Linked DNA regions of Oryzias latipes. The protein of the gene in region 1 purifies or fractionates together with the protein of each later gene. This does not show direct contact. Links are inferred from orthologs where the notes say so. Each region holds a gene or a part of one and is shown on either strand. Other genes may lie near its edges.

What was found.
Region 2: the proteins of wwox (region 1) and dvl2 purify together in Homo sapiens (affinity purification with mass spectrometry; 4 studies listed by BioGRID and IntAct, counting the BioPlex papers as one, with this or other methods). This does not show direct contact. The link is inferred for Oryzias latipes from reciprocal best matches to the Homo sapiens genes WWOX and DVL2.

The regions. Positions count from the first base shown.
Region 1 is NC_019864.2:20,914,592-20,931,710, reverse strand, and holds the start of wwox (WW domain-containing oxidoreductase), read left to right. Parts: upstream 1-6,302; 5' UTR 6,303-6,400; coding exon 6,401-6,507; intron 6,508-12,815; coding exon 12,816-12,880; intron 12,881-13,111; coding exon 13,112-13,169; intron 13,170-13,277; coding exon 13,278-13,447; intron 13,448-17,119. Other genes in the region: nuclear factor of activated T-cells 5, read right to left, coding at 4,802-4,874. UniProt on the Homo sapiens protein: Putative oxidoreductase. Acts as a tumor suppressor and plays a role in apoptosis. Required for normal bone development. May function synergistically with p53/TP53 to control genotoxic stress-induced cell death.
Region 2 is NC_019876.2:14,912,999-14,930,006, forward strand, and holds the start of dvl2 (segment polarity protein dishevelled homolog DVL-2), read left to right. Parts: upstream 1-9,899; 5' UTR 9,900-10,231; coding exon 10,232-10,392; intron 10,393-17,008. Other genes in the region: RING finger protein 223-like, read left to right, coding at 6,593-7,192.

The DNA.
Region 1 (17,119 bases):
GTGATCTCTGGCAGATTTCTTGGAATGAGACACCCAGCCTCCCTAAACATTATAGCCAACACAAATTTGGATTCTAATGAATAGTGATACTGAAATCAATCCAACTCCACATTTAGATTCACTATTAAAGTCTCTAGTAACAAGTAGTTAAAAATAAAAATATTTTGTAAACATGCATGGATATTTGGCCTACATTAAAATAAACCTTTAATCATTGGATTTTTAGAACTTCCTTCCTGCTGTTTTCTATATTTATCTCACTTTTTCATATGTGTTCATTCACACACCCCACCTCCCATCCAGATCATGTGGCAAATATTATAAAAAACATGAAAGAAAAAAGAAAGTACACATTTGCTGTGCTAGTTTTGTTGACTTTGTGCAGTCCAAGTTAAAGAATTACAAAAAAAGAAAAACGAAGAACTAAAACCACAAAATTCACAAAAATAAAATCCTCCATAAAGCACAAAAGCATCGCATTATACTGATATAACTCCAGCAAGTCTGCCCTATTGAAGCAAGAAGTACACATGATATAGTGAGCACTTAACTTATACAAGTCCTAGAAAGGTACTTTGTAGTTTTTCATTAACAAAACATTTTATTTATAATTTAACTGCCCATTTATATGAGTCACTTTTATAATTTATATGCAGTTGGGACAAAGAGAACATGTTTATTGACTATTGTCACGGCACTACCCATTTTATTGTCATGTTTTAACAAAAAGCAGAACAGCCCAAAGCAAAAGGCCAAGTATCTTATTCCATCTGCAGCTTACATCGCTGTTAAGTTGTGGCCGAGCACTTAAAGCAGCTTGTGTTTGTAAAGCGTATGTGTTGCAGTTACTTGATGGTAAAAATGAGTAATACGAGTACCACTTCTCACTCTGTGGCAGTGTTAATGCATACAGTGCCAAACAGATATTTTTCTTGCACCAATGTGTCTTTGATTTGTCAACACCAAAGAATGAGTGGGGTCTTCACCTGTGCTTTTACAAGTTGGAGGCATCAACAAGTGGTGGGAACCACAGGGAATTTCACATCACACAGTCCAGACTAAGGGTGGGAGGCGTAATAAAGAGAGCATTGACATCAGGGCTGTTAGGTCTGGAACAGAGCCTTTTTTTATAGTCACAGTTTTGGCAGGTTGGAAAGCTCATGAGAACTCTGGTATGGACCAGAAAAAGGTACCATCAACCCAATCTGCCTAAAAGCTATTAATTGTCTTCCTTTCCATTAGCTGAGCTATAATAAAGGTAGGAAGAAAATGTAAAATTGGACTCAAGTAAAAACAACATTATTCCAAAACGTTAAAGTCAAAAGAAGTCATTCAAATAATTTCCAAGATCAGCCTTAAAAAAACAAACAAAAAAATCACTATTATTTTAAACTTGAACTTGTTAAAAAAAAAATCACTTACAGCCCTGCTTACAGAGAATTTAAAATGTTTTGTCAGTTCAGCTTCCATGAGGTCACAGCTCAGGTCTTGTCTGTGAAAACGCAGAATAAATGTTCTGATGAGGACATGGGACGGAGAGCTAAATAAGAACAAACACCTTTTTTTCTAAATCAAACCCTTTTGAGATCAGCGTAATGTCATAAAATGCACAAGTCTAAAAATGTTTGCACAAAGTGTTTTTGTATTCAAGCTGAACTATCTACTAACTGAACTGTAACTGGCCTGTCAGAAGAGCCACAATCGACAGTTGTTGCCACTCAGTTCTCAGAGGAACAGAGTTTGACTGTCCCGCACTCTTTTCTTTTTTAAAGAGGATTCATACATGATCAAGAAGCAGGGTTTAAGGGCAGGGATGTCCAGATCCCTGCCACTTGCGGGCAAAGGCAGGGGACATCCTGGACAGGTCGCCAGTCTGTTGCAGTATAGATATTAGCTACCGGTTATCATATTTGATTACTGATTCTATGCTTTTATACAATTATTGTTGTGAAGCCTGATGAGACAACCGCGTTGTGATATTGGGCTATATAAATAAAATTACACTGAATGTGTAAATTGAACATTTACACAAAAATCTGAACTTTCAGCCAAAACATCTCTCTAGACCTGTGGTCTAACTGATGTGAATTTGTTGACTTTTCTTTTCCAGCTATTCTGCTGTAGACTTGTTTGTGTGCATTGGCTCATCATTTACATACACAACAAGCATTTGGTCATCAACTGATTTCTCAAGTCATCAGATTTTTAAGATAGATGTAGAAAGGATGTTCTGCAGTTATCTGATATCGGACTATTACATTTTCGACTTCTCTCCGAAAAGCTGACTCTTCCTGTCCACTTTTATCTGTGCATGTGTGAACTAAAAGCACAGATGGAAGCAACATGTAACCACAGAGTAGTCTTGCATGACCAAGCCAACCGCTGTTACTTCCGCACAAAGTACAAATAGAGAATAGAAGCTAGATATTGTCTCTTTATTTTGCAACTATTTTAGATCCCACATTAGCAAAGCTAGCACTATGTCTATCGGTGCTGCTACATTTATAAAAGACAGACTGGTGGAGTTTTAGAAAGAAAAGTTCAAAAGTTATGTCATTGTGTACGTAAAACAAAGCAGATAATTGACTCCCACGTAGTCTAGGGTTTTATGATGATCATATTTCCATAGTCAATTTGTAAATACAGTGGAGCAAATAGTCTGCAATTCTGCTAGTTGTTCCACTTCAACTGTGAGAAAACAAATGTAAACATTTTTGCTTTTACAAATATTCTGTCCCTTACAGACCTGTCACCTCTTCTTTAAGAAGCTTTTCCATCCTCTGCTTGCTACTTGTATCAATGATACCTGTTTGAACTGGTTATCTGCATAAAAGACATGTCCATACCCTTAAACAGTCAGACTGCAACCTGTGCCCCATGATCCAATCCAAAAAGCTGAACACAGGGAGAAGATTGTACACCTGAACAAGACTTGGATGAACTAATCTACAACAAGCAAGCAGCTTGTTGAGAAGAGATCAACTGTTGGAGCAATTATTAGAAAATGGAAGAAAAACAAGACAATTTCCCTCCACTTGGAGCTCCATGGAAGATTTTATCCGGAGGGATAAAAATGATCTTCAGAACAGTGAGGAAACAATCCAGAACTACACGGGGAAACTGGTCAATGACCTGGAGAGAGCTGGGACCACAGTAACAAAGGTTATCATTAGTAACACACTATGTAATCATGGATTAAAACCCTGCAGAGCTCCAAAGTCCCCCCTGTTTAAGCCAACACATATCCAGGACCATCTAAAGTTCCCAGAATCTGTCCGAATGACCCAGAGGAGAAGTGGGGAAAAGGTCATGTGGTCAGATGCGACCAAAATTGAGCTCTTATTGATGCAAGGTATTGATGCCACTAGGCGTGTTTGGAGGGGGAAAAATGTTGAGTTGCGTCCGAAGAACACCGTTCCCACTGTGAAGCATGGGGGTGGAAACATCATGCTTAGGAGCTGTTTTTCTTCAAAGGGAACAGGACGACTGATTCGAATTAAGGAAAATATGAATGGGACCTTGTATGGTGAAATTTTGACCAAAAATCTCATTCCATTATTGAGAATAAAACATGGCTTCTTCCAGCATGACAATGATCCCAAAAAGTCTGCTCTGGCAACAAATGAGTGGCTACGGTACGTAAAAGCATCTAAAGGTTCTGGCGTGGCCTAGCTAGTCTCCAGAGTTCAATCCAAAAGAGAATATATGGAGGGGAATTGAAGGAGTGTTTTTATTCATTCTGTCTCTCACAGTTGAAGTGCATCTATGATGAACATTACAGATCTCTCATCTTTGTAGGACAACTTTCAGAACATTTTGCCTCACTAGATCTGATAAACTCGTTCATTGTTCAACTGCATGACCAAATCTGAGACAGGCTTTAGTGACCAATCAGCTGGTCCAATATTTTATCCTAAATGAAATGCTTTACATGGGATTCCTATAGGAATAAATGAGAAACCTGATCCAGTAAGGGTACAATAAGCCAAAACTGAAGATGGTTGATAAGTTAATTAGAAAATCATTCAATGCAGAAAGTTGCGGTTAATGCATTGCTTACACACGTGAATTGACTCTAGCAACACATAATGAACTCCTATTCTTGCAGCAACGCCCCCTTTATAGCATCAGTTTTAGCCGATTGTGTGCTACAGAGATGCACCGGATTCCTGCACCACATTTTTATTTCTGGATTTAGCCCCACGCCTTAGGTAAACCCTAAAAAGTTGAGCAAATAAAGCAACAAAGCAAGATAGTTGCTATAAAAAAAACTGAAACAAGCACAATGTGCACAACTCTATCTATGCTCTACTTTCGGTCTGAATGGCAGTCCCTGGCGCACGCCTACACACGCGCACGCGCGGCAACACACTCGCACACAGCAGATCCTCTTCAGAAATGAAGCACACTAAACCGCTAAACAATGTGGTGGCTAGTAGGCAACCTGACGTAGCCTTGTTAGCCTGTGTGTGTTTCAGTCAGTTATCTCATTTTGAATTACAAATGAATCATTCACTCATAATATTATTTTAGGTAATATGGACGGTATACACTCTAAGGTATAGATAGTCTTCCAAACATGTGACACGGCACTCTAATCCGCCAAATAGTGTATGCCGCCTGTGCGTAAGCCAAACGGAATCTAACTATCAGAGCTAGTCTTGCTAAGAGCCGAAAGAGGCTAACTGGCTAGCTTAGCTAGCACCTTAACATTGGCTTCAAAGGCATAGAGATTTATACAAAACAAACGACAGCTACGCCGATTTGGCGCTACAGTAACATTTATGAAGTAAAAACTTACCTTTAGAGTATAGCGATTTGGGGGAATTGAGGTCGATATCCGTGCTAAGGATGGATGTAAAATCAGAGGGCATCGCAGATCTTCATCGAGGGGAGGAGGAGCGGACACTCCACCAGAAACGAAGTCGGCTGTTCTTAGCCAATGAATACTGCGTTTTACAAGAAAAATGCTTTAATATGCATAGTATAACATGAAAATAACCTCCCTGCAACAAAAAGAAACCTATAATTATCAGAAACATAAACCGTTATCTAGCACGTCAACGGGTTGTGTCTTGACTGAGCAGACACGTTCAATGCTGCGATTAGACACACACACATACATACAAACAGACGCGCGAACACACACACACACACACACACACACACACACACACACACACACAGTTTACTGCCGTTCTTCATCTCCGTTTGATTGGTTGAAAGGTGTCTACCGTAAGAATTATTACTGCCATCTGGCGTTTAAACCTGCAAATAACACATCGATAGATGTGAGATCTATCGCAGTAATTTAATCCTAAAGTCAAATCGCGATTCTTTTATTTAGAATTAACACTTCAGTTGGAATCTCATGGAAGCGTATCGCATTAAAGTGATTAATAAACCAATGCACTTTGACTGCCATTGTGGTGTTGTGTGAGTCTTTCACCCACAATTCAAAGTACAATTAAATTCGTAATTTCAATTACATAAACGAGCTGTGTACCATTGTTGAGGTAAACAGAAAACAACAAATTATTATATATTTTCTGTTCAGAATCAGAATCTTTTATTGTCATTATGCAGTGCACACTGAGAATTTTTCCAGCAGCTGTTTTCCAACAATATGGAAAATACTATATGAAAAACAATAATACATAAGACTGTACAGACTGTTCATTAATGCTAATGTGTCAATGTTTAGAGTTTTGAATCAATGGTTCTTAGTTAGTATTCTCTATTTGCAATTTCTAGTGTTTGGAGACAACTTTCAAAATAGTCCAAGCTGGCTGTTGTATAAATATGCACTAAACTACTACTACTACTACTACTACTACTACTACTACTACTACTACTACTACCACCACTACTACTACTACTACTACTATTACTACTACTACTACTACTACTACTACTACTACTACTACTACTACTAATAACTAATAAAATCCTTAATTCACTATTTTTAAATATTTATGTACACTGATAGCCACAAGTATTCACGTATTTAGATTTTTTACATGGATTTTGATTAGACATTCATAATGTGATTTTGATCTCAGTTAAACTTAGACTACATCTTTTTATTTTATTTTATTATCATGATTATTATTATGATTATTATTATTGTGATTATTATTCACCAATTAGGTGAATCAAGTTTTTAAAATGAAGTCAGGAAAATCCGCTTCTATTCCAACTTCTAATCGCTGCCTAATATGATTTCATTAAAAAAAAAACAATTGCTCCAACAGCGTCAGTTTTGTACTCAGTTTCCCATGTGGCAGTTCGGCAGCCGTCACAGTATTGTTGCGGAAGTATCGCGAAACGCTGTTGGGGTCTGCATTCATTTCTGCAACTATTTCTCATCGGTTTATCGTTTTGGTGAAGACCCAGAGTCATGGCTGCTCTAAAGTACGCTGGTATGGACGATACAGACAGCGACGACGAGCTGCCTCCCGGATGGGAAGAGAGATCTACGAAAGACGGATGGGTTTACTATGCAAAGTAAGTCAGACAGACAGCTCAGCTGCGACCAGCGCTTCTCCGCACTAGTCCTCAGTTTTCAATTAAGGAAAAAAGCGCCTCCTTGATGTTGATATTGTTTCGTAAACGCATCCAGCTTCACAGATTAAAAAAAATGTTGATAAAATTTCTTGTCTATTACATTTAGAACTCCTGCTGCTTATTGCTACTACTATGAATGCATTTTAGGACATATCTGTAAATAACAATGTGTTATTTATAGCAGTAACATATAAACGTAATTTCTCTGGACATGTAGACGCTTTAGCCAATATTTTTCTTGTTAAAGTTCAAAAACCTCTGACGACTTCAGATCATGGGCTAGAATGAACTTCACCCCCCTAAACCTTAGTCTGATGATGCGACCCTTTGAAGCAAATCCAGTCCACAAAAGCAAACTGTTTAAATTAAATAACTGTTAGTAATCCGATAATGGTGATGTGATGCATTGATATGCATTTAAAAGATACGATAATTGATAAACCCTGATTTACAGGTTTCGCTTCATTATGGATTTCTTTGAGAGATGTGTGCACATAAAGATTTGGTCAAGTTGAAACAACCATGTCTACAGTGTCAGGGTTGTAGTTCTATGGATCATGCAAAATACAATGCATGTACAGTGGTGGACAAAACTGTTGGTACCCCTCAGTTAAAGAAAGAAAGTCCCCAATGCTCACTGAAATGACTTAAAATGTTAAAAAGTAGCATAAATTAAAATGCATTGAAAATTAAAGAATCATATTCAGCCATTATTTTTGAGTTGTTGATTAACAGAATTATTTCCAAAAACAAACTAATGAAATAGAGCTGGACAAAAATGATGGTACCCATAACTTAATATTTTGTTGCACATCCTTTAGAGGCAATCAGTGCAATTAAACGGTTTCTGTATTTGTCAATGAGCCTTCTGCACCTGTCGACAAGTATTTTGTCCCACTCCTCATGAGCAAACTGCCCCAGTTGTCTCAGGTTTGACGGGTGTCTTCTCCAAATGGATGTTTTAGCTCCTTCCACAGATGTTTAATGGGATTCAGATCTGGGCTCATAGAAGGCCACTTCAGAATAGTCTAATGCTTTTCTCTTAGCCATTCTTGGGTGTTTTTGGCTGTGTGTTTTGGATCGTTGTCCTGTTGGAAGACCCATGACCTGCGACTGAGACCAAGCTTTCTGACACTAGGCAGCACATTTCTACCCAGAATGCCTTGATAATCTTGAGATTTCATTTGACCTTGCACAACTTCAAGACACCCTGTGCCAGATGCAGCAGAGCAGCCCCAAAACAGAACTGATTCTCCTCCATGTTTTACAGCAGGGACAGTGTTCTTTTCATTGTATGCTTCATTTTTGAGTCTACCAACATAGAGCTGATGTGCCTTACCAAAAAGCTCGAGTTTAGTCTCATCTGTCCTAAGGACATTTTCCCAGAAGAAACAACTGTGATGTCAATTAAAGGACATACCTGGGTTCATCATGACCCTCTGGGCAATTAGTTCTCAGCCTTTTATGGAGGTACCATCATTTTTGTCCAGCCCTATTTAATTAATTTGTTTTTTGAAATAATTCTGTTACTCAACAACTCAAAAGTAATGGCTGATTTTGATAATTTAGTTTTCAATTTTTTTAAAAAAATTATTGTTACTTTTGAACGTTTCAAGTCATTTCAGTGTGCATTGTGGACTTTCTTTCTTTAACTGAGGGGTACCAACAATTTTGTCCACCACTGTACATGCATGCAAACAAGCATACAAACACTTTCCATGTGTAAGAGAACAAAATGATTTTTGTTCTTATAAACTGACTCTACAACCCATAGGAGATGATTGAACACATGTGGGTAACAGACACTCCAGAACACCTTTAGTGGTCGTTTGGTTGCATAATACCTGCACAATTTTTCAGGATATATAAGGGCAAACTGCCTAGTTTTATGCAGTTCGTCAACATGTTGTGTTTGAGCAGGTTTTGCGATCACTTTATTGACCTGTAACTCTGTAGGGTTGTTGTAGCTGACTGGAAGTATCCCTGAGGAAGACACCAAGCAGAAGAGAAACCAAGCTCATTAAAAAAACTTTGAATCAAAATTACTGGGTACCTTTTTCCTTTTTATTTAAATCAACAAAAAAATGTTCCCCAAATAAGATCTTACATTTTATGCAGTTTAGGAATGGAGTTGACAAATGCTGCCATCTAATTGGGACGTGATTACAGTTCAAACAGGAAATGTGCTTAATTTGCTGTTTGGAAGAAATTTAACTGAAGACAGATTGTAATTCTGTAGAAAAAGATGACAGCGATTGATTTTAGTTTAGTTTTGTGGTTCAGAACTATAACATATCTCATTCAGAAACTGTTAAAAAAATGCATATCCACTTCATAATAGAGCTTTATTACAATGTATTTGTGCAACAACCCAAAAAATATACTTGTGGGTAGCTCATTTGAAACAGTGAGCAAAGGTGCATTTAGAGAAAATTGAGTACAGAAATTAATGAAAATATTATGATTATCTTTTTTAATTTATAATCCCATTAGGCAACATGGTTATGTCCCTGTTTTCCTTTTACAGTACATGAAGACACTAAGGAGACATTATTTACAGCATAAAGAAAGGATGGATTAATTGACATAAATCACTAAATCTAAAAATAAAAGCTTCATTTTTTTCTGTAAAAATGGCGTAAAGTCCCACTCTGATCATCTTTGATCTATTGAAAAAGCGTTCCCAGTGGTCGTTTTGTTGTGATTATGCAGTTTATAAGCAAAATCAAAATAACCTGTGTTGTTTTCTAGGACATAGTTTCTGCAGAGCGGCAGCAGTTCATTAGGGACTATTGACTCGGAGTAAGCCTTCTCTGACTTAGCTTACAGCCATTTACAACCCCAACATATCATTACCGCTGCAACAAAAACGTTGAGAAATTTTGGAACTATTAAGCCGTACAGTTTTGATCCAGATTCCAGTTCAGACGAGGAAAACAAAGACGTTCATGGATCTATTTCAGGGCTCCAGACTAACTTTTTTCACTAGGAGCACAGTGGCCCCTAACTGAAAATTTTAGGGGCGCAACCAGAAAATTTAGGGGCGCATACCGTAAATCAACATTCTAATCAAATCTACTAATTTCCACTGTATTACTAATAAATACTTTAATAATAGATGCAGAAATTACAATGTGCTGTTTCAAATTCAGTGTCACATTTTATTCTGCACTTTTGAAGATGCAACAAAACAAAACCATCACTGTCATGACAGTACAAATTTGTCTTTGTGACACCAAATAGGTGCAGCCAAGATGCACAATAAGCGTGTTTGAGATCACCCAGGTGAACTCAACGCTGCACAGATCACCTGGTGTGTGACATATATTTTTGTTTTTGCTCCAACATCATGCTGTACACTCTGGCACTGGTACACTAGCCGCAGGTGGGAAGAACGAATCAATAGTTCGCTTGCTCATAGCTCAGACGCACATATCAGGTTTTGATATTTGTCTCAGTTTCCTTCCCACAGATGTTTACGCGCACTCGATTATCTCTAGGCCCCTCCCCCTCCACGCATTTTAGCCACTCACAGTGGCTGTCCCTATTCTTCTCACACGCAGTGGCCGCCTCACAAACAGGCATCACGCGAGAGTGTACGTGCTCGCGTTTCATGAGTATGTGCGCGAGTGTGTGTGTCTGCCTGCGTCCGTGTGCGCTTGCGTCTCATTAATTATTTCATTGATCATTGACGTGCCCCTTCCACGTTTAATGTATAAAAAATACGAAGGGTGGGGGAAGCAAATTTACTGGTCGCGCATGTGCGACTGGATGTAAAATTCAGTCGCACACTCTCAAATTTTGGTCGCAAAATGCGGCCAATTGCTCGCAGTCTGGAGCCCTGTATTTGTCTGCAAGTGGATGCATCAGAATGGAGCAGAGCAGGGAGCTTGCAGCTTACTTTAGTAACTTCTATGTCACACCTACAAGGTTTTTCCTCTTGATTCACAACAATTTGAAAAAAGAAATATTTAGAAGAGCAATCTTAAGGCCTGTACACACCGGGACGAATTTGACACGCGATTTTCGCCGACGTTTAAAGCCTCGTGACTAAACAAAGGGCACCAATGAGAGTGTGCACACCGACGCGAAAAAACGCCACGCGTCAAAGCGTCACTTTTTAAAAAACGCCTCGGGTTGGTTTTTTTGGTTTGACGCGCTGCGTCAAAAACTATACGACCAATGAGAATGGTGCTTTTGCACACGTGTCTGGAGCTTCTCAAGTTACAGTAAAACACAACTTGGGTGCGCTCAAACACAAAACTGTCTTTCTGAGCACTCATACCAGCGAGGAAGATAGACGCCAAGTAGCGTCTACACTGCCGCGAAGAAATAATGACGGACATTCCTAAATATCCCCGAAAACGCTCATGATACATTTTCAGCTCTTGTACCAGTCGATAAAACTCCCCATGTTCTTCTCCTCTCGTAACTATGGGATGTACCCAAAATCTGCGTCTTTTCCGGCGTCTTTCATCATTCAAGAGAACAATAATTTCTTCATCGCTGGAACTGGAGTTGGAGCTACTGTTGCTGGAAATATTCATGTTTTCTTTGTTTGATTCTGACAAGCGCGTAAATACTTGCTCTCTTCTTCTGAGTGAAAAGCGACTTTAAGAAGCGTAAAGTTGCGCAGCGCCACCTTGTGTACAGGGGTATTTCTGATTTACATTAAGCGCCATCTAATGTCAGGGAATGAAATTGCATGTTCACTCGGCTCATCGTCAGCGAAAATTGCCTGGGTGTGAACACAAAAAACGTGTTGAAAGACGCTGGCGAATAACGGTTGGCGAATATTCGTCCCGGTGTGTACGGGCGTTTATGCTTAATTTTCTATATCTAGATCCCCCATCATGAGAAAAATGCCAGAAGAGCATGCTAAAAACAGCAACAATTTTTTTTTATTGGACTGAGTCTTTAAGGAACATTAAATACAGATCTTAAAATATTCCCTTCTCTGCTGCTGTGCTGGTTCCAAGCCCGGTTGGATTGAGAGGGTTGCGTCAGGAAGGTAAAGTTAATGTGTTGTGTTGTGACCCTTCTGGGCCACCGTAGGAAGGGCATCCGGCGTAAAAACATTGCCAAGTTAACCATGCGACTCATCCTCGAGGGAGGGTTGTTGCTGTGGCGACCCCTGATGGGAGAAGCCGTAAGTGAAAGAAGAAATACAGATCTTAAAATAAAAACCACTTTAGTTCAGAAGAAAAAGCAAACTGTAAGTTTTCAGTAAAGATTATTATAAGTACTTGAAATTGGAGACCATGAGTTATAATATAAATTGTTAAATATTAAGGTTGTGTTTAGTTTTATAATAGTAGCAGTAGTAGGTGAGCCTTGATCTCCCCCAAATACAGAAATCAGTTTTGAGCAACAGGGAGGTTAAAATAAGTCATCTTCACATTAACATGAGATGGAATAATTTACATAAATATTCCACAGGAGCAGCACATTACAATACATGGAAAAAGAAACAATGCACATGTTCACATTGTACCACAGAGTAATGAAACAAATGAACAAATTGGTAGACTGTCTATCGTCCTTCATACAAAAAAAAATCCCTAATAAATGGTCTAAAGTGTAGTTTAGAAGTTACACAATAAGTAACAAATGCATCAAAAATGCATTGCTTAGTCTCAAAGACAGAAAAGGTAGTTCAAATTTTCCCCCATCCTTCATATCATTGGCAAGCACAGCCCTGCAATCCACTTGTCTCGGTAATAAAACAGACCTATTATTGAGACTGATAGATATGATAAAACATTTTCAAGTCTCACTCCGATCCGTTTCTACATCCCAAATAAGAGCTTTTCAGATGGCATTTTACGTCTGCCTCTGTTTCTCAAATACCCAGAAATGCAATTTTGAATTCAAGTTTATTTCTTTATGTCCTCCATCATCAGAAAAATGCCAGAAGGACACGTTAGAACACCCAAAACACAATTTTTAACTTTAATAAAGCATTAATTTTAAGATCAGGGAAATAAAGCTTATTCCTGGAAGGTATTTTTTAGGGAATGGATTTGTTAATAGGATATAGGCCTTTTTAAAAATTTATTTTAATTTAGCCACTGTTAAAAATGTTTCTGCAATTTATTTTAATTGTTTTAAGGATTAAGAAACTAACAAAGAAGCTGGCAATGTTATCAACCTTTTCAAAAAAACAAAACATATATTGAATAAATGAATAAAAGGACATGATTGAATTTTTACATTTTGAGTCATCTGTCTCTTTTTTCCCCGTACAGTCACGAGGAGATGAAGACACAGTGGGAACACCCCAAGACGGGAAAGAAAAAGCGCTGTGCTGGAGGTCTGCTTTACAGCAATAGTTGGTCACACTGCAGATGCTTTTATCCAAAGTCTCTTGTCAAGTTCTTCTAAATCAAGTCAGAGATTTATTTTTAGTTTAGGATCTAGAACTTCAGAGATTTCATTTGAATATCAACCTATTTATGTATTTATAACTTTCACTCATTCTAGATGCAAATACGAGGCTTTTATGAATTTCTGCTTTGCAAACACTGAGAGTATTTTTGCACAGATTTACCATACGGGTGGGAACAGGAGACCGATGAAAAGGGACAGACCGTTTACGTTGAGTATGTGGATTCTCTAATGCTTTCTATTTTTTTCCTTCCTAGCATGTAATAACTTAACATATCTGGTGCAATACCAACAGAATTCATGTTTGCTTTTTCTGCTTTTAGTCACATCAACAAAAGGAGGACGTATTTTGACCCGCGCCAGGCCTTCACAGTGGAGGATGTAGTTGTGAAGCCAAAGCGTTATGATGGAAACACTGCGGCTTTAGAGATCCTGCAGGGTCGTGACCTGTCCGACAAGGTTGTTGTGATCACTGGAGGAAACTCCGGAATCGGTGAGTTCACTGTGATCAACGTGTGCTTTTGTAAGGAAGCCACTAGGTGGTGATGTTGCTCCTCGGTGGAGAAGTATCTCACACGTGTATCATTCCCATCATTCCTCCCTCTCCGTTCACTACCAAGCATTCATCAACATTAGCCTCTAAAATGATACACTTAGACTCAACAAATCACTCCTTAATACCCAACATGACTGTATTGAAGTTCATTAGCAGGGCTGAATTGGATGTCATTGTTAACTGTAATGAATGACGACCATTTGTGGCCGGCAAATGCATGGCTCCCCATATAATGGTTCGGAAACAAATGCATTTCCAGTTTAGCTTTAGTTTAATTTAGCAGCGGCGGCGGCCATTTATTAACAGTTGCTGCTTTGTTGGAGATAGATAATGACAGTGTGTGCAAAATCAAATAAACATAAAATCGTTAATTGTTTTTATATTCAAATTCTTTGTCCCGAGGAAAATCACAACAGTGTAAATACTGCGTGTAAAAAGCGACGCTGCACGGCAGAATGAGGATGCAGGGATTTACAGGAGCCTGGGGATTTTTTTCTTTTCATTTTTTCAAACAAAGGTGGTTGCAAACGGCAGAACCAGAGCCACAGATTTGCACCTGTCTTTATCTTTGAATACACCTGGAACATTACTACAATAAAAACATTATTAAAATGTTTTAGTTTTAGATTGAACATGTGAAATTTAGTGTGTTGTTGGGAACAGACTTTTGTCTCATAAAGCACAGCATTCTGGGTAATTTCAGCTACAATCTGATGCTCAGGCGGACTCTGAAGGAAGGAAAAATACCCCATAACATAATTATGTTAGTATGAAGCATGATGTTCACCCAATAGTTTTTTCTTAGTTTCCAGCTTCTCACTGAAAGCACTGAATATGCAGTTCAGGGGAGTTTTGATTGAAGTTCAGGAGCTAAAAGAGAAAAAAAATGAATTTATGTTACATTTTTCTGAATTTAAAGTTCTTGTTTCACATGTGAAAACTTCTGTAATTGTGGTCAAAGTTTAAAGAAAGATTTGTTTGGAAATGTATCCATAGCAGCAGATGTTCAGTTATCCATATGTCTCTGAGTCTCACTGAATGAACTATTTTAAACCAACATACCATGTTAGGACTGACATTCTTTAACAGTCAGACTGAAGTGGATCTTCCATTCTTCTCAGTTGGTAGTTTATGCCGACCAATTATAATTTTTATTCATAATCGGCCTTAGTGAGCTAATTATAGGAAGGGTCAAACAGTTTGTTGAGTCCTTTGTCATGAAAGGAGATTTTGAAGGTTCTAAAAGGCGGGTAGCAAAGACCGGATGAAGAAAAATGTAACTTGTTAATGAAAAAAAGTGTGACGTAAAATGACAAGACAGCTCAGAAAGTTGAAGACACAAAGTAACTAAAGAGCAGCGGTGATGGTGACAAACTAAAAGAAGACGCGCTCATCCTTGTAAAGAAACGGAACAATTTTATTTAATAGAATCTAACCAACTAATCTTAGCAAAAAAAAAAAAGTGAGCAATTTTAAAGGCACAGTTCAAGATCAGGTGCCTCCAAGGTCAGGTGACAGAAATAAATGATAATGATAAAATAATCATTTTTAGTGAAGAATATATAAAATGATTTTCAAAAGGGACTTTTTCATTTTTTCAAAAACATTCGAGTATAAATAACTGGAAAAATTGTAATGTAATCTTATAAATCCAAGTACATTCCTCCAATAATGACAGAAAAAAATGAAGGAGTAGAGCTGCATGAGGCTCTACTTTTAATAAGTATATTTTCTGTAATTGTTTCTAAACTTTCTAAAGAAATGTTAGACCAGATGCTGTCAGAATAACTCAGTGTCACCATGAAGAGGTGATCCATAAGATAAAGACAAACCTTCGTTTCTTCATCACTGGGGACATTTGCAGACGGAATTTGCAGGAATATGAACAAATCCAAAATGAAAATGTAATCAAAGGGAGACTGAAGGGAAAAACAGACATATATAAACATGGGTTTTTAGACATGTAATGTTCAGCTAAAACAGTGATGCTTTTCAAATTAGATGGTCAGGAAACTGACTTGATTTGGCTTTTTTATGGGGTTTTTTCTAAATAGATTTGTTTTGCTCACAAGGTTTTTTTTTAATAACTTCTTTGCGTAAAACTTCTAATTTTGTATTCTTATTTATGTGCAGCTTAAACTTAAAAGAAATTAACTGTCTGACCAAAGAGTTTGCTGATAGAGTAATAGCTTTGCCTTCTGCAAGGACATTTACGAGCTTAGGAAGTGCAATCTATGTTAAAATTACCAACTTTAGAAAAGAAATTTTGTTTCGCAAGAAGATTTTGTCAACGGTTTTAAAAGCGGAAAAACAATTTAATTAAAGGTAAATCATAAATCGTATTAATTTGATTTAATTTTGTGTTTTTGTCCTGATAAAATGTAAATTTTCTCCACAAGAGGGCGCAGTACGTCCATAATTTCTCCTATTCAGATTCTGCTACACACATCTTAACATTCTAAATTTTGCTTTGACTTTGAAGTATAACTAAAAGAAACAAGTTACCTATTTATTGATTTAGTTAGGATATTGACATGTGTTCATCTGAAAAAAATAAACAAAAATAACAAAACTTCCTCAGACAGCTCTAACAGACTTTTTTTTTTTTCACAGTGTGTGAATACTCAATAAACCCATATTAACATAACCTCTTGTTTTACTCTTCCACCTATTAAATATTCAGCAGCCATAATTAACAGTATTTTAATAGTAATTGCTACTTGTCGTCTTCTCCCTTTGACATTTCCAAAGTGAAATGTGGTTATGCCGATTGGGTGGACCCACTTAGCATTTTAATGGCATCAATAGTGTTTTATTCCGAGTGTCGAAGCTATTTTCATTTTCCTCACTGCTTATTTCATTCACGGCAAATGTGACATTTTTATTAGTAATGGTGGGATATTATTTAATTAGAAAATGTGCATTAATGCTCTTTAATTTTGTTCCTAATGCATGCGAACATGAAAAGCACATATAGGGATTTATTTATGCATGAAATATCATGGTCTCTGGTTTGGCGAGCAGCCTTGAAGCTTCATTGCACCGGTGCTGGGAGGCGACAGGGTAATGTGGTTTGTCTCGCCGGCGAGTTCTCTCAGCTCCGTTTGTAGCATTAGTCTTACTCTCTCAGACTTCCTTTGCAAATTAAAGCCCAGTACCAACCTGAGTGGCGATTTTTAATTGTGATAATGGAAATAGATGATGTTCGTTTGTTTTCCCCAAAGCTGTGCTCCTCTCCCACGCTCCCCTTTGGGTTTTCTCACTCTTGTGGACCTGTAGTGGCCCACCTGTGCCTCTGCATTGATTCTTAAGCGGCTGTGACCCAGGCCTGAGCCTCCTATCCATCCACATTACTTGCTTTGGCTCTGGCTTTAATTCCCTTCTAGCAACTAACTCTCAGGTTATTTACTGGCCTGAGAGTCCATGGAGCAGTTATCCCCGAATGGTCTGCGGCCTCTTCCAATTGGAAAGACAAAACACATAGAATAATAATAAAAAATATCTTTTCTAAACTTGGCACTAGCCTGCTCTTGCAATATAACTGTTTCTTATAGCCAAACTGGATTTGTAATGTCATCTCTTAACACGTGCTGTCATATTTGCCCCGTC
Region 2 (17,008 bases), on another chromosome or scaffold:
GCGTCATATGTCAGGTTAGTTGCATGGGATAAAGCTGAAGTTAGGTTGTCTGCGTAACCCTTGTGCTATCTTATATGACCCCACCCTTACATTGACGTGTTCTCCCTACCATGACAAAGGTGGATAAAGGTGGAAAGATTTCATGTAATCCATGGACATCAGTGAAGATCACAAATCATTGAAGAAAAAAGGTTCAGGGCACTGTCTAGTGGGTCTAGATGACCCAACTCCCAATGTTAAAGTGCCTAGGATAGCACAAGGGTTAAGGCAGAACCCCCCCACCCCCACCCACCCACACACACACAAGTTTTAAGAGAAAATTGGTTCTAGATCTTAATCTAAAGTGATAGTTTTTAGATAAAAAAATTCTATCTTTCTTGGTTTCAACATGGGTGTACCCCTGGGCTCTATCATGGAGCCCCTTTTATTTGTTCCTTACTAAATAATATCTTTGAAGTGATAAAACTGCATTTTTTGTGGATTTTCCTGAGACTTGCACATGTAAGTAGTTTGTAAAGAAATACAAAATGGAATTTATTTATTTGTGAAAGAAAAATACTCCCAGGAAGTCATTCGATCAGTTAATTGTTTAAAATAAAACATTTTAAGCTTGTCCAAAAAAACGTCTTGGATACACATATTGTGTTTTGTTTTCAGAATCAGCTTTATTTGCCGGTGGCTTTGGTGTCTTATGGTCTCATGTTCCATCAATCAAATAAAATCCATCCATCCATCCATCCATCCATCCATCCATCCATCCATCCATCCATCCATCCATCCATCCATCCATCCATCCATCCATCCATCCATCCATCCAATAAAACAAAACAAAAAACATGAAGAAAAAGATCAAGATAAATCCAACAGTTGTTCCGATGTAACAGTTTTATGTCTATGTTTTAGTTTATCAGATGGACGTCTCGAGGGAAGAAGCTGACCTTGTGGCGAATGGCTTTGGCGCACATAGTTCTGAAGCGCCGGCCTGATGGGATTTGACAAGAAGTAGTTTTATAATTACTATTTGTTGTGTGTTCTTCTGAAGCTGCACTATTACGGGTGTTTGTTGTGTGTTCGTGTGTATTTCTTGTAATCCTGTATTGGTTGATTATTATTCCTCAGACTGGTATAAATATGGGTCTACTTTCTACTCTGAGAAGCTCTCATTTGCATTCAAAGGGCAGGATTTTTCATATAAAAAACAAATAAAGATTTAAAGCTTTTCTATATATATTTTTTTTCAATTTAACCTTTATTTATCCAGGCAAGACAGATTAAGAACAACATTCTTATTTTCAATTGTGGCCTGGTGAAAGACAAGCCCTTTTGAGAAAGGAAACAAAATAGGGTTACAGGAAACAGATAAGAAACATCAGCAATAAGAGAAGAAAGTCTAAAGTCATCAAAATCACTAAACTGTATTGGAGAAGCATTTATGAACTTGTGGAATGACACTTTAGGTTAAATTACAAAGGAAAAAGAAGAGTTGTGGATAACGATGCAGGACCCAACACGCAGAAAATTGGACTTACTTTAGAACTAAATGTCAATTAAAAGGTAGATATGATGACAGAAGGAAAAACAAAAGTCTGATAACAGATGACCTATACTATAACTGTAAGCCTGTAGCTGCAAATAGACTGAGGACTTACTATTTAATAGAGATACACCAGAAGAGACTGTGACATGGAGGAAAACCTGGAAGCCGGGATGCTTTTCTTCTGACTTTCTGTCTGTGCAAACCTTTATTTTTGAAAGTGTTTATGTAAGTTTTTGAATGCTGTCTGATGGTGCAAACACTTACAGTAAAAGGATGCTACAGCCCATTTACTGGCAGCAGAATGACTTCCTAAAGCACTTTCCTGTACGCAGTAAGCTCCCTAAGGAAATAGGAAGAGGAATAAAAACTTTTTTTAAACTTTTGAAATAAGCCTCTGGCTAAGAGTCTCCAAATCTTGTTTTAGCTTCCAGCAAAATTCCAAGAACTGTGGATGTTTGTTTTGCTTGTAGAACATCCTGGAAACGATGAACGGGACAAACATTAAGGAATCCAGTGAAGTTTGGAGAGGATGAATCCAAGTGAATATTGCTTTCCTGACATGTTTACTCACACAAAGTGTCTCGAGGCATAAAGAATTTGATGAGGCTTCGTTCATCGCTCAGAGAACAGAGCATGGAGCCTGTTGTTTTCACATCTCTGACCAGATTACCTATAAATAGAACATAACGTGCCAAAAATCTCCCATCACCCCCCTCTTGTCCTGTAACTTATTTTCCCGACCCTAATTTAAAGCTACATCCACTCACGTGAAGGGTTTAATCCTTGATGGAGAAATTTTTCTAAGCACAAGACATGCTTTCCTGGATTCTCACTTGACTTCACCTTCACATACAAGGAGAGACCGTCCAATGGATGATGAAGTGTTTTGGTTGGGTCCAAAAACGCGTGTCTGATCGTCACGTACGCATACAAACCTTTGCCCCGCCATTAAATCCTTGATTTTTTTTCCTGAATGTCACAAGGACATTCAATGTCTCAATTCATTAAGCTCCCTTAATGAATTCTTTATCAGTGAAAAGGTTTCCATGTTTTGCAATGCAATGTGCAATGCCATAACTTGCTTATTTTTAGAGGTGGTAAAAGGTTTGGGGGTACTTGCCTGGTTCACATACTTCGACACAGCAAGTTTTCTTGACTCGGTCTTATCCGCTTTGTCTTTAAATATCTTCCTGTGTCTAGTCTCGAAATGCCTCCTGATACTTGATGTGCGGCACACAACATTTCTTTACACATAAAGTACACACAGCACGGTCTTTCAAACAAACGCACAGTGCAAGAAGGAGGACTACCGCAGGTCCTTCCTCCCCACAGCCATCAGACTGTACAACACCGTGTTACAGTGACACACGACGGACCCACGGGTGTTTTTCATTCACTCATTTATTCATATTACTTATTGTTGCAGTTGTTGTTCTCAGTTGGTTTTGCTCCTGAACGGTTGTTTCTTTGGTGTGTATTTTTTTACTTATTTACTTTTGTTTAAATTGAATCTACTTGCCGTAAAAAAAATACTTTGCAGGTTGCAGGTGTTTTCTGTTGTATTTAAGATGTTATTTCTTTAAATACACTGAAGGTCATTTTATCTTCTGGTTCTATCAATGCTTGGCATCCCAGCTTGGAATATTCTGGTGTGGATGTTGTTCACTAACTACAATATCCAAGCTTAAGCAATCAGCCTTCTGTTATTGTCCTCCGCTGTTGAGTTGGGGAGATCCCAGTGATGCTTTTCTGCTTTGGGTTGGCAGTTTCATGTGACTTTGTGGGAAGAATATTGTTTTCTGGGCACAGCTTTCCATGTGTAACTTGTGTTTTTTTTTTTCTACAGACGAAACTGCCTTCTGGCAATAAAATTCAACAAGTTAAACATGTTTGAACCAGTTCCAATTATAAGGATGTGAAGTTGCACTTTTGAAGCCTGAAATATGACTTTTCGAATTTGATTTAATTACCCTTTATTAAAAAAAAAGCTGTAAAAACTTCAAAGACATTGAAATGTTCTCATATTAATGTCTTTACATCTCTTTGAACCAAGAACCTGAGGAAGTCTGTAAACTTGATTCACATTGGCTGTTGTAAACCACCATAATGACACGATACACCAGCAGATGGAGGTGAGTCACCAACAAGAGGGTGGCTGTCATTTTTCTGCCCTCTGTGTCTTGGTTACCTTTACCCTTTCCGGGGGTATAATTACACCTGAGACGATTCATAGGGGGATTCAAGAGGGTGAAGAGGAGAATCAGGTGTGGCGGCAGCGAAGCAGACACTTCAGCAGCAGCCGGAGGACACACCCAATGCCAGATCTGCAGCAACATGAGAAGATAAGTGGGTGAGGGGAGCCACCACGGCTGAACCAGAGTGGGCCCTGATCCAACAGGTGTGCAGAAGGTAAAAAGTACTCCTTATCTGTCTTAACCTGTCAGGTCGGAGCCTCGCCCGCTTGTCAGCATTTACAGTGAACTCGGCTACGGCTCCTCATCCGGGCAGGTTTTTTGCACATCTGTGTGAGGCCTGACTCTGTAAAGAATGGGTTCATTGTAGTTAATCGATGTCTCATACAAAATCTCATTGTAATCTGATTTAAAGTGTAAAATACTGTTGGGCTGTGTGTTTGTATGGACCAATACTTGAGAGACATTGGCTGCTTAGCAACAGTACCCCCATGTGTGTAGTTTGTTTTGTTAGTGTCTCATGTGAAAAAAGGGGGAGAGACACAACAAAAAAAGTCAGTTATTGTTGGTTTGATGCTTTTAATTCACTGCTAAGACGTGCCATTGACTTTTCAAATCTTCTTTAATCTGTGATAAGGAGCCACAAGTTGGTTAATTTTAAATTAATCTATTTTAATTGATTATTACAACCACTGGTAGATAGATGGGTTTGCAGTGGGCCCATGTGAAGCCAGCCTTTCAGATCAGCAAATGGAACTCCATACATCCATTTTCCACTGAATCCCCTTCAAGGTCATAGGGTTGCTGGAGCCTATCCTAACCACTGTTGGGTGGAGGCAAGTGCACCCTGGACAGGTGCATAACCACACACACATTTACACCTAGGGATAACTTAGATACACCAGATAACCTATGAAGCACATAGAAAGGACCAAGTCAGGATTTGAACCTGGGCCTTCTTGCTGTGAGTGCTTACCACTCTTCCACCACCTTCCGCCCAACCCATTTTGTGTAGACAGAAATTGGACAGGACAAAGTAAACATTAAAACTCTGCTGGCACCATCTTTTTACTGCCAAAGCAACAAATGAAGGTGAAGGAAAACCTCACCTCTAAATGTGCGCATTTCAAAATCAAATCAAGAAAAAAACACAAACCTTCAGAGTTCCCATGAAACCAAAGCAATAAACCTTCAAAACTTTCTTGCCACCAAGTATATTGTTTTAGGGGAAATCAATTGGAAATGGTTCCCTTTTGAAGCCAGCCTTCAGTGGTCTTTAGAGAAAGTGCAACAATTGATCCTTCCTGTCCTGCATCAAATGAAAGTATGCAAGGATTGGTCATCAATGATCCCCAGACTTTCTACAAATTGACTGATGGTGAAGAGCAAACACGACTGAAAACTGGATAAAAAACAATGAAGCAGTTCTAAAAGTTAGGATGGAGCTTGTCAATCGAAAGACCCCACCCCATTCTTTTATTACAATGTCAAATGTAAAATACAAAACTTTGGTTTGTCAACGTTCACTCCTTGCATCATGAATGCTAAATCTATGCAAAAAGATGGCAAAACGTTTCAGAACCAAACCTAAAATCTGCTTATTTCTGATTTGGTCTTTTTTACGTTAATTGGAGTGAATATATATGGATCTGAAATGTCTTTAGTAAATGAGCTTCAAACAGGAAGTTACAGACTGTCCATTCATTACAACTAATGAGCTTAAGTACAATAACAGCCTATTGTGTTTTTTTAGAAATATTTAAGAAAGGCTTTCTTAAAGATTAATTTAATTAAACAAGAACTAGCTAAAAACCAAGCTAACATTGAGCAGCAACTGAAAAATATGTAAAATGCAAAAAGTGAAGAAAAAAAAACTACAATAGAACCAATAACAGACAATCTAGGATATAAATAGAAAAAAACAGAAGAATATACTTTATTATTATTCAGGGTGGCTGGATGGCTCAGTTGGTGACGCACATGTACACGGGAAGTCAGGGTTTGATTCCCAGGGATGCAATGAGCTTCATCTAGTGTGGGACATTGGGCAAGACCCTTCACCCTACTGGCTGACTATGTAGCCACAAGGGGCCCCCAGTCTGGGTCCCCCTGTACCGGTCCTCATATAATGGGTGGTGTCAGGAAGGGCATCCAATGTCAAAATCTCTGCCCTACTAAATGTGCAAATCAGTGAAAGCCAATTCTCTTTGGCGACCCCTGAAGGGATGTACCAAAAGGTGAGCAACATATTTTATTATTATTGAACCAATTGATAATACGAAGCCCAGACACACACAAAAAAACACAAACGTCAAAAAACCATCAGTTCTTGGACGTTGTGTCTGTAAGGTGTGTAGTGTCCCAAAACACAAATTCGTAGTATAACCTTTCAAACTCTGAGCCATCCATTTGGTAAAACAAACATTTTCTTACAAGCAAAGCCTGTTGACTCTCTGACGTAATCATTTTTTGCAAACTCAATGAGTCACTGAACGTGCTCTTGCACGCACACGCGTGTAAATGGAGAGGAGCTCCAGTGACTTATGACTTCCTTTGTATGGCTCTTCTGTTTTTTTTTTGGTTTTTTTGTTTCCTGTCCGTCTCCTTTGTTTTGCCTTTCCTCACGTTTTGCATGCAATCCGGCACACTGCATGGTCCTGTGATGATGAGGCAATGGCTGGATAATTTCAAAGATGAAGAATGTTACGAAACATTTTTAGAGGAAATCTGATAGGGTTAGACCTCTGTAATCCCTAATTCCAGTCTTGAGCTTATCTTCAATCTTCTGTCTCTTTCCAAGTCTTCCAGGTTCTGCTTAAGACTTGCCTACATAGGTGCAGTTGAGCCCCAGGGCCCTTACATCATGACGGGGGAGGCTGTCCCAGCACCCCAGCAGGGGAACTTGGAGGAACCTGTGGATGTGGAATGCCCCATCTGCTACCAGGAATACAACCAATACAACAAATGTCCTCAGATGCTGGAGTGCCTCCATGTTTTTTGTGCAGAGTGCCTCCAACTGATCCAAATCAGACCGAGCAATCCCTCCGACGCCAACAGCCCGAAATCGATTGCCTGCCCCCTGTGTCGTCATTTGACCTTGCTGGACACTGGAGGCGCCCTCTCTTTGCCCTGCAACTCTCGCATCCTCTCCCGGCTGCCCCCAGCTGCCCCTCACATGTCTGAAAGAAAGACCAACCGTCTGTCCAGTGTCCCCCAGGGAGTGGTGTTCTCCCTGGAGGGCGACAGCAGGGACCCTGGTTTTATCATAGTACCCACCGTCAGCCTGCGAGTGCAGCAGATGCATCCGGAAAGGCCCTGCGGGGCAGCGCCGGGTCTGGTGGGTGAGGAAGGGGTCATCCAGCAGAGCAAGAGAACGCTGGGTTGTGTGCAGGTCCTGGCGGTCGTCTTCTGGGTGCTGTTTGTGATCACCTGCGTGTTTGGCGTCGTGCAGAGGAGATTTTAAAAGAAAAAAGGAATCGTTATCTCTTTATTTTGTCTCACTTCATGAATGTTTCTTTTCATCAATTGCAGATCATGAGCTCCCTCTAGTGGCCAATGAAGAAATGCACAAATGCCACACACTCAATTGACACAAACACATTCAACACCTATTTGCCCCAGTCTCAACAACATGGGCTGTTAATACACAAAACCCTTGTAACTAGAGAGATTTACCAGCAAATCACACCCACATGTTCTGGTCTTGTCCAGCTCTACACTCTTTCTGGAAGGACATTTTTAGATTATTATCCCAGATCATGAATTATAAAAATTATAGAACCCAGTCCTTTGACAGTTATCTTTGGTGCACCTCCGCCATCTGTACCGTCTTCCTCCTCAAGGTCCTCTCCTATTTCTTTTGCCTAATTTTGCTTAGATGGGAGTTTTCAAGTCCTCCATACTTACACTAAAAGATTCACTTGAAGAATTCCACAAAGCCTGTCACAGAGTAATTTATCTGTGTGAAGGGGAGGAGGGCGGGGCGGTCAGTCATGGTCTCCGTTTTTGCAAAAAATATCTATTTTTATTCTATTAATTGGTTGTTTTGTTTTGTTGGTTCATGTTGTATTGTGCATTTTTATATAGACTTGTGCTGTTTTTGTTGTAGCCTTTAATCTTTTTGTCTAAGATTTGTCTCATATAGTGGTTTATTGTCACCATAAAAACTGTTTTTTTCTTCCAGATTTTGTACCTGTTTGCAAATACAAAAAACAAATTGCAAAAAAAGCAACATATCTATATGATATATGTATTATATATATTTTAAAATCTTGGTGTTTTTTTGTGGCAACGACATTTATCCTGAAGTAATTATGCTGTATTTGGTGCTTGTGCCACAATATGCACCATTTTTTTTAAAGTCCAGTTCCACATGATCAATTACAGCCAAAATAACAAATTCTTTTACTGTTTTCAGACTGAATTTTCATGCATCACTACTATTTCTGTGCGTGTTTAGAAATTTCACAACCCAATCTTAAAGTCTTTCAGTTTCTGCCCAAAGGTCTCACTTAAAACCATAACATTGGCACAGATATCAGCATATTATGATTTTATGACCATTTTAATCCCCCCCACCCCCCGTACAATGAGGTTTGAGTATTTTGAGTTTATTATTGTTTGCACTGATGTAATGATGTTTGTTGTGTGTTTAGTTCTTTTTTTTGTGTTGATCTAATCTGTTCTTGACTCCTTTACAAAAAACTTTGTGATCTTTTTTGAGAAATATGTTATAACAGGAGAACCCAAATAAATGCCATTTAAAAAATGAATAATGGAACATGACAAAACACTGTTTGTGTAAGTTCACTGTATATTTGTGATATCAATGTTTATTTCAGTAAATTTCTCAATTATAGTGTATTTTTAGGACTCTTTTTTTATGAAACCTTCTTTAAATCACATTGTGTGTGAATGGATTTGCCTTTTTGCTTTTTATGCTGTTTATCTGCTTCATTTAGCATTCTCACTTCCTAATCCCATCAGTCCCAAAACATCTCAGCAAAACAACTCATCAGTAGAAACCTTTTATCACAACTCAGATGACCACAATGTTTATTTTGATATTTTTAGTACATTTTATGATGGACTCGAAGTCCAAATGTCAGCACTGAAAAATAGAGGAAAAAATACGGTTGGACTGTGATGTAGTGGGTAGCACTCATGCCTTGCAGTGAAAAGGTCTTGGTTCAAATCTCAGCTGGGACTTTTCTGTTTACATGTTCTCCCCAGTTCATAAACATGCTTCATAGGATAATTGGAGTCTCTAAATTGTCTCTTGGTACAGTCCTGCCGTCTTATCACTCAATGCAAAAACATACTAGAGATCACAACGTTAATTAAAAAGCAAAATACGGATATATAAAAATCGATATTACATTTTTGGAAAACAAAATGGAATGTTAAAAAACGAAACACGATGAGAAATTGAAAAAGGTGACTGGATGATAATATCCAGTATCGCTTCATGTCAAATAACTTTCAGCTGAAATGATGGACAAACGTCATCGTCCATCAGCGATGTCCCAAAACCTTTTCCAGTGTCTCATCATCGTTTCTTTTTACTAACATTTCATTTTGATTTCTGGAAATTACTTTTGCATTCAAAAATGTGTTTTTCTTTTTTGTTTTTCATGGAAACCCCCAACCTATGGTGCTCGGCATTTTTGTTACACGGTAATGTTAGGTTGAGGGTGTGAGGGGCTGGAAGCTAGTGGGTTTTCAGATTTTGTGTGAAAACTGCCTCAATTAAAAGACACTCGGAACGCTTTAAGATAGATACAAACTTTAATTTAGTATTGGAAAGTTAATCAAATCAATTTTAAAAAATTCAACAAAAATTGGGGACATCTTTGGATTTGTGTATATAAAATTTAGTAGAAAAAAATAATAATTTAACAATATTTTCCTTTTTTTACCATCAAAACTAAAACAGATAATTACATGTGTGTAAGGTTTATGACGCTATTAATTTTTAATATAATTTTTAATCAATGTTCGGTTTTAGTTGCAATGGGTTTATGATTTTTTTTTATTTAAATGTCTTTAATTAAAGTAATGGGCAATGGACTTAGTAGAGGGGCCTCCCGTACGTAAAGCAGAAAGGGGGGTGCGTCCTTACGTCACACGCAACAAGTGGTAAAAAGTTGTTGGACCCCCCGCCCCCTCCCACCCCTCCTCCTCCCCTGTATGTTTTTGTTGAGGGAAAAGTTGTTGGGAGTTTTGCTCGTGTGAATGCAGCGCCTCCGCCGCTTTTCGGCCCTCGGTACTAGCAGAGGGGAATGCCCGCCGTTTCGTTCCTTCAAGTCGGAGAAAGAGCCGAGGAGCAGAACCTTCCAGATCTTTATGTGAAAACGTAACCTTTTCGGGCTCCAACGTCTCGTTAGCTTCCTTGCTAGCTCCCAAAGTTGACGCTACCTCGCCTCACACTCACCGCTGTGTGTCCCGTCGGAAGTTAGCGGGTTTGTGGGGAAGGAAAAAAAATTAACAAAAACCCGCAGAGATGGCGGAAACCAAGATAATTTATCACATCGACGAGGAGGAGACGCCGTACTTGGTGAAGATACCGATAGCTGCCGAAAACATCACTTTGTTGGATTTTAAACAAGTGTTGAACAAGCCAAACTACAAGTTCTTCTTCAAGTCTATGGACCAAGACTTTGGGTGAGCTGCTGAGATTTCTTCTTCCTGCGCTGAACATGAAAGGATTGATTACGCTAAAAGTAAAGGAACTAAAATTTAAGCGACCAAACGTTCATTCAGAGGCTCATATAATTCAAATTGTGTGGCAAAAATAATATACACATTTATTTTTTCCTACTAGTTTTCAGTGCGTCAGTAGCTGAAAAAAACGCTCCAAAATAGCAGGAAAAACCGTTTTAAATGACATTAAATGTGTATTTTTTTGTCTATTTAGTTTGTTCCTTACAAAACTGTTGGAATAAACGACTCACTGAGTTGTTTTTTCTCCTCTAACGAGAAACCACGCAGTGATGAAGATCATAGCGGTTCTTTAAATACTTTGGATTCTGTGGAATATTTTCAGAATAAAAGACTCCCATTACAATGAGAGGCATTCCTCGGCCCTGCAGCTTTTCTTAGCCCTAATAATCCTCCTCCTCTTCCTCTCCCCCCTCTCCTTCAAGTGAACTCCTCTTTTCTTTCTTGCGGGACTGCAGCCAGAGTTTTGTCCTTTCTCCTTCACACTTCAGCCCGCTTTCCATCCTTTCAATCCCCAACTCCTATTCTATGTAGCTTCTCCTTCAGGTAGAAGACAGGAAAACTGTCTTTCCTCTTCCATGTCATGGTCTGTAGTAGAGGAATGGACGATGGTTAGTTTAAGTCGGTTTCTATTATTATTATGTGTGTACTTGTCTTTTGGTTGGACCATCAGGATATTTATTCTCTCAACCAGAACCTTGATTTAAAAAAATATATAATTTGTTTTATATTGTATTGTGCCTTATAAACTCTAATTAAGATATTTTGAATTGAAATCAACATGGATTTATCACAGGTTAGGCAGTTCTTATTAAAGATGTTTCTGTAGTAGAGAAGTATGCATTCCTCTATAGCTTCTAGTAGCCAATTTCACTCCTGGGTTTTAGTCACAAGGACCTTTTGTTTTTTTTGGGACCATAAGACGCTCCTAAAATCAACAGTGCATTGTATGTATGAATTCTGGTTGTGTTAATTGATGTGGAACCGATTTTCTTTGGTAAATGGCGCTCAAAAATCTGTCCAAATACTTCAGAGAGACTTTGGTAAACTACAAAGCTGCACCTGGAGCATTAAAGCCTTGTTTCCACTCAGCGATCCGGTCCGGTTTAGAAAGCGATTCAGGTGAGCGTTTCCACTCAAAGTTGGACCGGCGCATGTGGGACGTTTGAGAGAAGATTGTGGTCGGCAGAGCAGAACACAGCCGCTTTCTTTTGTTGTAACGACCTTTAGCCAATCGACAGGTTTCAACAGTAGCTCCGCCCAAACCGATCTGTTCCATTTTTCTATGGACCTACAACCAACAGGGGCCCAAAAATGGTACGGTTAATGGGTCCATTTTACCTAGTGAAGTGATACGTATTGTGTTTCAACATAATGGATTGAAAAAGTGTTCTGTATTTTGTGTTACAACTGAACAACGTTGAGAGTTACTGTCAATAAAGTTTGACTTATCTGCAGAGTCTGATTATTGCAGGTAGGAGAGAAGAACTCAGTTCACTAGAAAAAGGTTCCATCAACCCCCTCTTGACCAATTCTATGCATTAGGCCAACTTTGTGCATTCTGGCTATTGTAGTTATATCACATGAAATGACTGTTGTATTGCTCAATCTGCCTTATGGTCCAACAAATCTTTTTGGTTTTAGACCCTCCAGAAAATAACCCATCATGGAGAGGGGCTCTTGATTCCACCTTCTAAAATCAGACAAACATATTGAATATCCTTTTTGGTTTAACACGTTATTTTTGATCCAAGTGGCTCGTTTATATATGCTCACTTTTCAGTAGAATTATTGTTTCCAAATTCTCATAAATGATGCTGCACTTGTTGTAGCTCTCATTTTTTATTGGCTCAGAATTGGGGCTGAACGATATGAAGAAAACTTGCGATATGCGATATGAGTGATCAATATTGCGATAACGATATCATTTGCGGTAAATAAACAAATAGCAAAACAACCAAAAGCATCATTCCCATTTCACTGCAACAGTTTAAAATGTATAGTCCAAATGAACCTCGGCGAGGTAGGATGCAAACATCTAACATAAAAGGGTCCATCCGATTGGTCAAATGCATAAAGGGATTTATTTGATTCATTAAATGCTTCAAGCTGCCATAAGATTGTTTTAGCATATTTAAGGTAACCATTTATTGCGATTTGTGATGACTTTTGCGATATGCATATTGCACAGCTTGATATCGCGATAACGATAAATTTGCGGTATATTGTGTGCAGGCCTACTCAGAATGCAGTGTGACGTTGTTCAAATTAAACCTTTATTAAACCAGAATGGTCAAGTATTGACAAACGTAGGTTAAAGAATAAAGAATCAATCAAACCCAGAGCTAAAGTTTTTTTAACCCTTTTATCTTGGATGTTGGCAATGACACGTTTGTGCAAACACTCTTTACACTGAAAAATGTCAACGCTTTCTAAAAGATGAGACGCTACAGACAATACAATGTTGTAATGGGCAAAAAACTCAGAAGTTCACAAATAGCCCCTATGTTTCCAAGGAAGACAGTTATTCCTGGTTAATTTTATTCTTTTTCTGACCAAAACTGTTACAGTCAATGTTACAATAAACAAACTGAGGCTGTCTACATGCCTGCAAATGCAGAATAACTGAATTAGCAGATATATACAAATTAATCCATGGAAATATGGTCATTTGTAGATCCTCATCTACATGGTTATCTTGGAAGAAGCTTTCAAAGTTTCGGTGACTCAAGGCCCATTATTGACCCTTGTGCTACCCTAGGCACTTTAACATTGGGAGTTGGGTCATCTAGACCCACTAGACAGTGCCCTGAACCTTTTTTCTTCAATGATTTGTGATCTTCACTGGTGTCCATGGATTACATGAAATCTTTCCACCTGTATCCACCTTTGTCATGGCAGGGAGAACACGTCAATGTAAGGTGGGGTCATCTAAGATAGATCAAGAGTTACGCAGAAACCCAACTTCAGCTTCATCCCATGCAACTAACCTGACATATGACGCAGGTGTAGGATTTTCCTTAAAAAACAGGTTCCTTGAGAGTTTTTGGCACTAATCCAACAAGCTGGAGTTACAACGCTGACTTGTTTTGTGGATAAACAATGCAAGAACGGCAGATTTTATTGATCATTTTGGCCCAACAAGACCATGAACCGTTTTTTCTACCATGATTTGTGATCTTCACTGGTGTCCATGGATTACATGAAATCCTCTCCACCTTTATCCACCTTTGTCATGGTAGGGAGAACACGTCAATGTAAGGGTGGGGTCATTTTGACCCCAGAAGATAGCACAAGGGATAAATAAACAAAACAATGTCCATCTGTTCTCGTAAACGTTGGGAGCTAATTGAACAAAAATAAAATTTAGATATAAATTGCATTTTTGTTTGTTCTATGCAACTGTCTTTTTTTTAAACAACATTGTTATATTGGATGCCTTAGTTTAGCGCACTAAAAAAAACTGCATCTGAATATTTTCACTATAGACTAATACATTTTAATTTCAATCTTGTTGTTTGTGGTGGGTTCTGCAGAACCGTGTTCTCCTGCTTAAGGCATGCAAACCTTTGCAGGCATGCAGAACACAGGCATAAAAACACCTCACTGGGTTCTAGATGACTTCTGCTAGATTACCCGATGTGCTGCATTGGTAGAATAAACAAAATTTTTTTAAATTCTTTTTTTTTAGTATATGTGGTCCTGATCCCTTAGAAGCTGCTTCTGGGTCACGTTTGATCTGTAGGCCACTATTTATAAAGCCCTGCTTTAAGTACAGCTGATAAATGAGTGTGCTAAAGAGAAGTAAATTAGAAAGCAAGCATGCAAATTACCGTATGTTTATTATCACTAGAGTGAAAGTGATAAGTATTTATCTTAATTAGAAATCATTTTGACTCAATTTGTGATTATCTAAATGTATACAGTCAATAATGATTTGAATTAAAATGAGAGATTTTGATTTGCGTTCATCTTAAGCGCGAAGATCTTTAATTTTTTTATTACATTAGCTGTGATGCTGTCTTAACAAACAGGAAAACACGAAGATCAGACTTCTTAAAACGACCAAATTCTTTCCAAACCAACAGAGTTTAATGAAGAGAGTGATTATTAATGAATTTAGAACAATTGACAATAAAAAGGGGTTTATCTAACGGTTTAGGTTTTTTTTTTGTGGATTGACTTTATAAACATAAAAGTTTATTAAAATTTCCACAGGTATTATTAATATTAATGAACCACAAAAAGTCAGATATCTTCTCCCAGACCAAACCGGTCGGTTTACTAGGATTAGCATCAGATGCTAATGGAGAGTTTAGCTAAACCTGCTCAACAGGCTTCAGTGTCACAACAAACACAAAAGGCTTTAATGCGAGAAGCTTGGGAGTTTTACCATAACAAAAGAATAACTATTTATTGTTTATTGTAAATAGGCAACAACTCCACAAACATCTGTGTTTTCAGATGTCAAAGTCCCACTCCAATCATCATCATTTTGATGGACTTTTAATTATGATGATACTGTTTTTAGCCAAAATAAAAAAAATCTTGTGGTGTGTTCTAGGACATAGTTTGTCTTCAGAGCGGGGAGCTCATGACCCGCCCAGCTTATTTTTTACAGAACTGCATTTTTGTCATCTGCTCTTGATGCACAACGATTTGAATAAAGAAATACTCAGAAATGCCACAAGAACGCATTAAAAACACCAAAAATCCATCAGAGTGGGTCATCAATTGATGTCTACTCTTATTTCTAGGACTGTGAATGCCCAAGATAAACAAAAACAGCAACATTTTCTTAGAATATGTGGTAGCATCCCCCTCTTTGAATGTCTAAATCATTTCACCAAATTTCAAAGGGTCAGCTGTCCAGTCATAGCCGGTACCCCCCCCCCCCCCCCCACTCCAGCCCTAAAAAGGGAGTCCTCTAACGTTGTGTGTTTTCCTTTGCCATGGTCGAGGCCAGCTGTTGACTGACGCTGCATGTGTGGCGGAGCCGGGGTTTGTGTGGGGAACCTGGGGCTGGACGGAGGCCATTTGGTGGGGGTCTCGTTGTGTCCGCAGAGAGCAGAAAGACGGGGACCGAACAGGGCGGTGTTGGGTTGGAGCTACTGGATATTCCTCTATGTGAATGTGCTTTCAGAGGCTTGGGGCCTGTTTCAGCGAGATTAATTATTGGGAAGCTAATGCCGTGTTGAATGCTGGGCATTTAGTGGTAACAGGGGAATAGAAGAATGGAGGAGGGTTGGGAGGAGCTTAAGGTTTTACTGACTGCAAACTGGGCTCAGCATATTTTCAGGCTTGTTTGTGCATTTTTGCTGGCATTTTGGAGCGTGTGTGAGCTGACTGCCCCGGAGTTTGTTTAGAGCAGTGCTTCTCAATTATTTTTTGCCAGGCCCCCCCTAGGAAAAGAAAATGTTTCGCGCCCCCCCTGACCCCCCCCCCCCCATAACCCCCCCCCCCCCACACACACACACACACAGACACACTCGCGCGGTGACAATACATCAGGTCAGTATCTATAAAATTTGTATACCTAAAATTGTATCTTTTAACACTAACAAAAGAAAAAAGCAAAATAAATCCACTTTCAACAAATATTAACTTTATTTAGCCACAGAAACCCTGTTCTAGTCTAAAACAGAAAAGAAGCTGAAAGTACCTGAAATAAAAAAAAATCTGTCATTCCTTATTTAAACTAGAAACATTTTGACCAACTGAACCATTTGATGCTGAAAAAAATAATTCAATCAATAAATAATATTAAATCTAAATTGATCTGAAACATTAACACAGCAGCACCAATATATTTAACGTTTTTAGTCTGAAGAAATAGGTAAAAACGTGCTGATTTTTTTTTTTCTAAATGACGGATTGTTTATTTCTGATCTCATAAAAGTGCAGCTGTTTTCCTGCATTACCTGCTGTCTTTCTGTCTGTCTGAAACCAACTAAACCACAGGCAGACAAAGAAAACATGGATGGAAAATAAAGACACGTCATCAAAATGTCTACAATAGTTCATAAAGAATGACATTGTTAGCATGAGCTTAGGAATCTAAGGGCAGCGGTGATCTTGGGCAACAGGCAGCGGTAGCAGTGGTCCGCGTGCCCCGATTCCCCTGGCAGACAGGGCCCACACCACCCCTCCCCTTTCGTTCTCACTCGCGCAGCCGCGGACAGACAGAACAGACAATAGGAACCGAATAGTGGACCAGATTATTTTCCAAGCACTGAGCCGCTGTCACCGCTGCCCCCACGTTAAATTTGCGCACCGGACAAACCTGTGCCTAAAACCGCCACCACCGCGCGCCCCCCCTGGCATCGCTTCGTGCCCCCCCCTGGGGGCGCGCCCCACTATTTGAGAAGCACTGGTTTAGAGGGCTGTGGAATGAAGACAACTCTGGTGGTTGTTGATGCATCTGCTCCTCATGCTGTCTAGACGTCGTTTATGCGAGGAGGGAAAACGCTGAATAAATGAAGCGCAACTAGATTATTTGTTTGTTCACCAACAGTCGGCGACCACACAGACGAAAACTCCCAGAAAGCTCAGACATCCT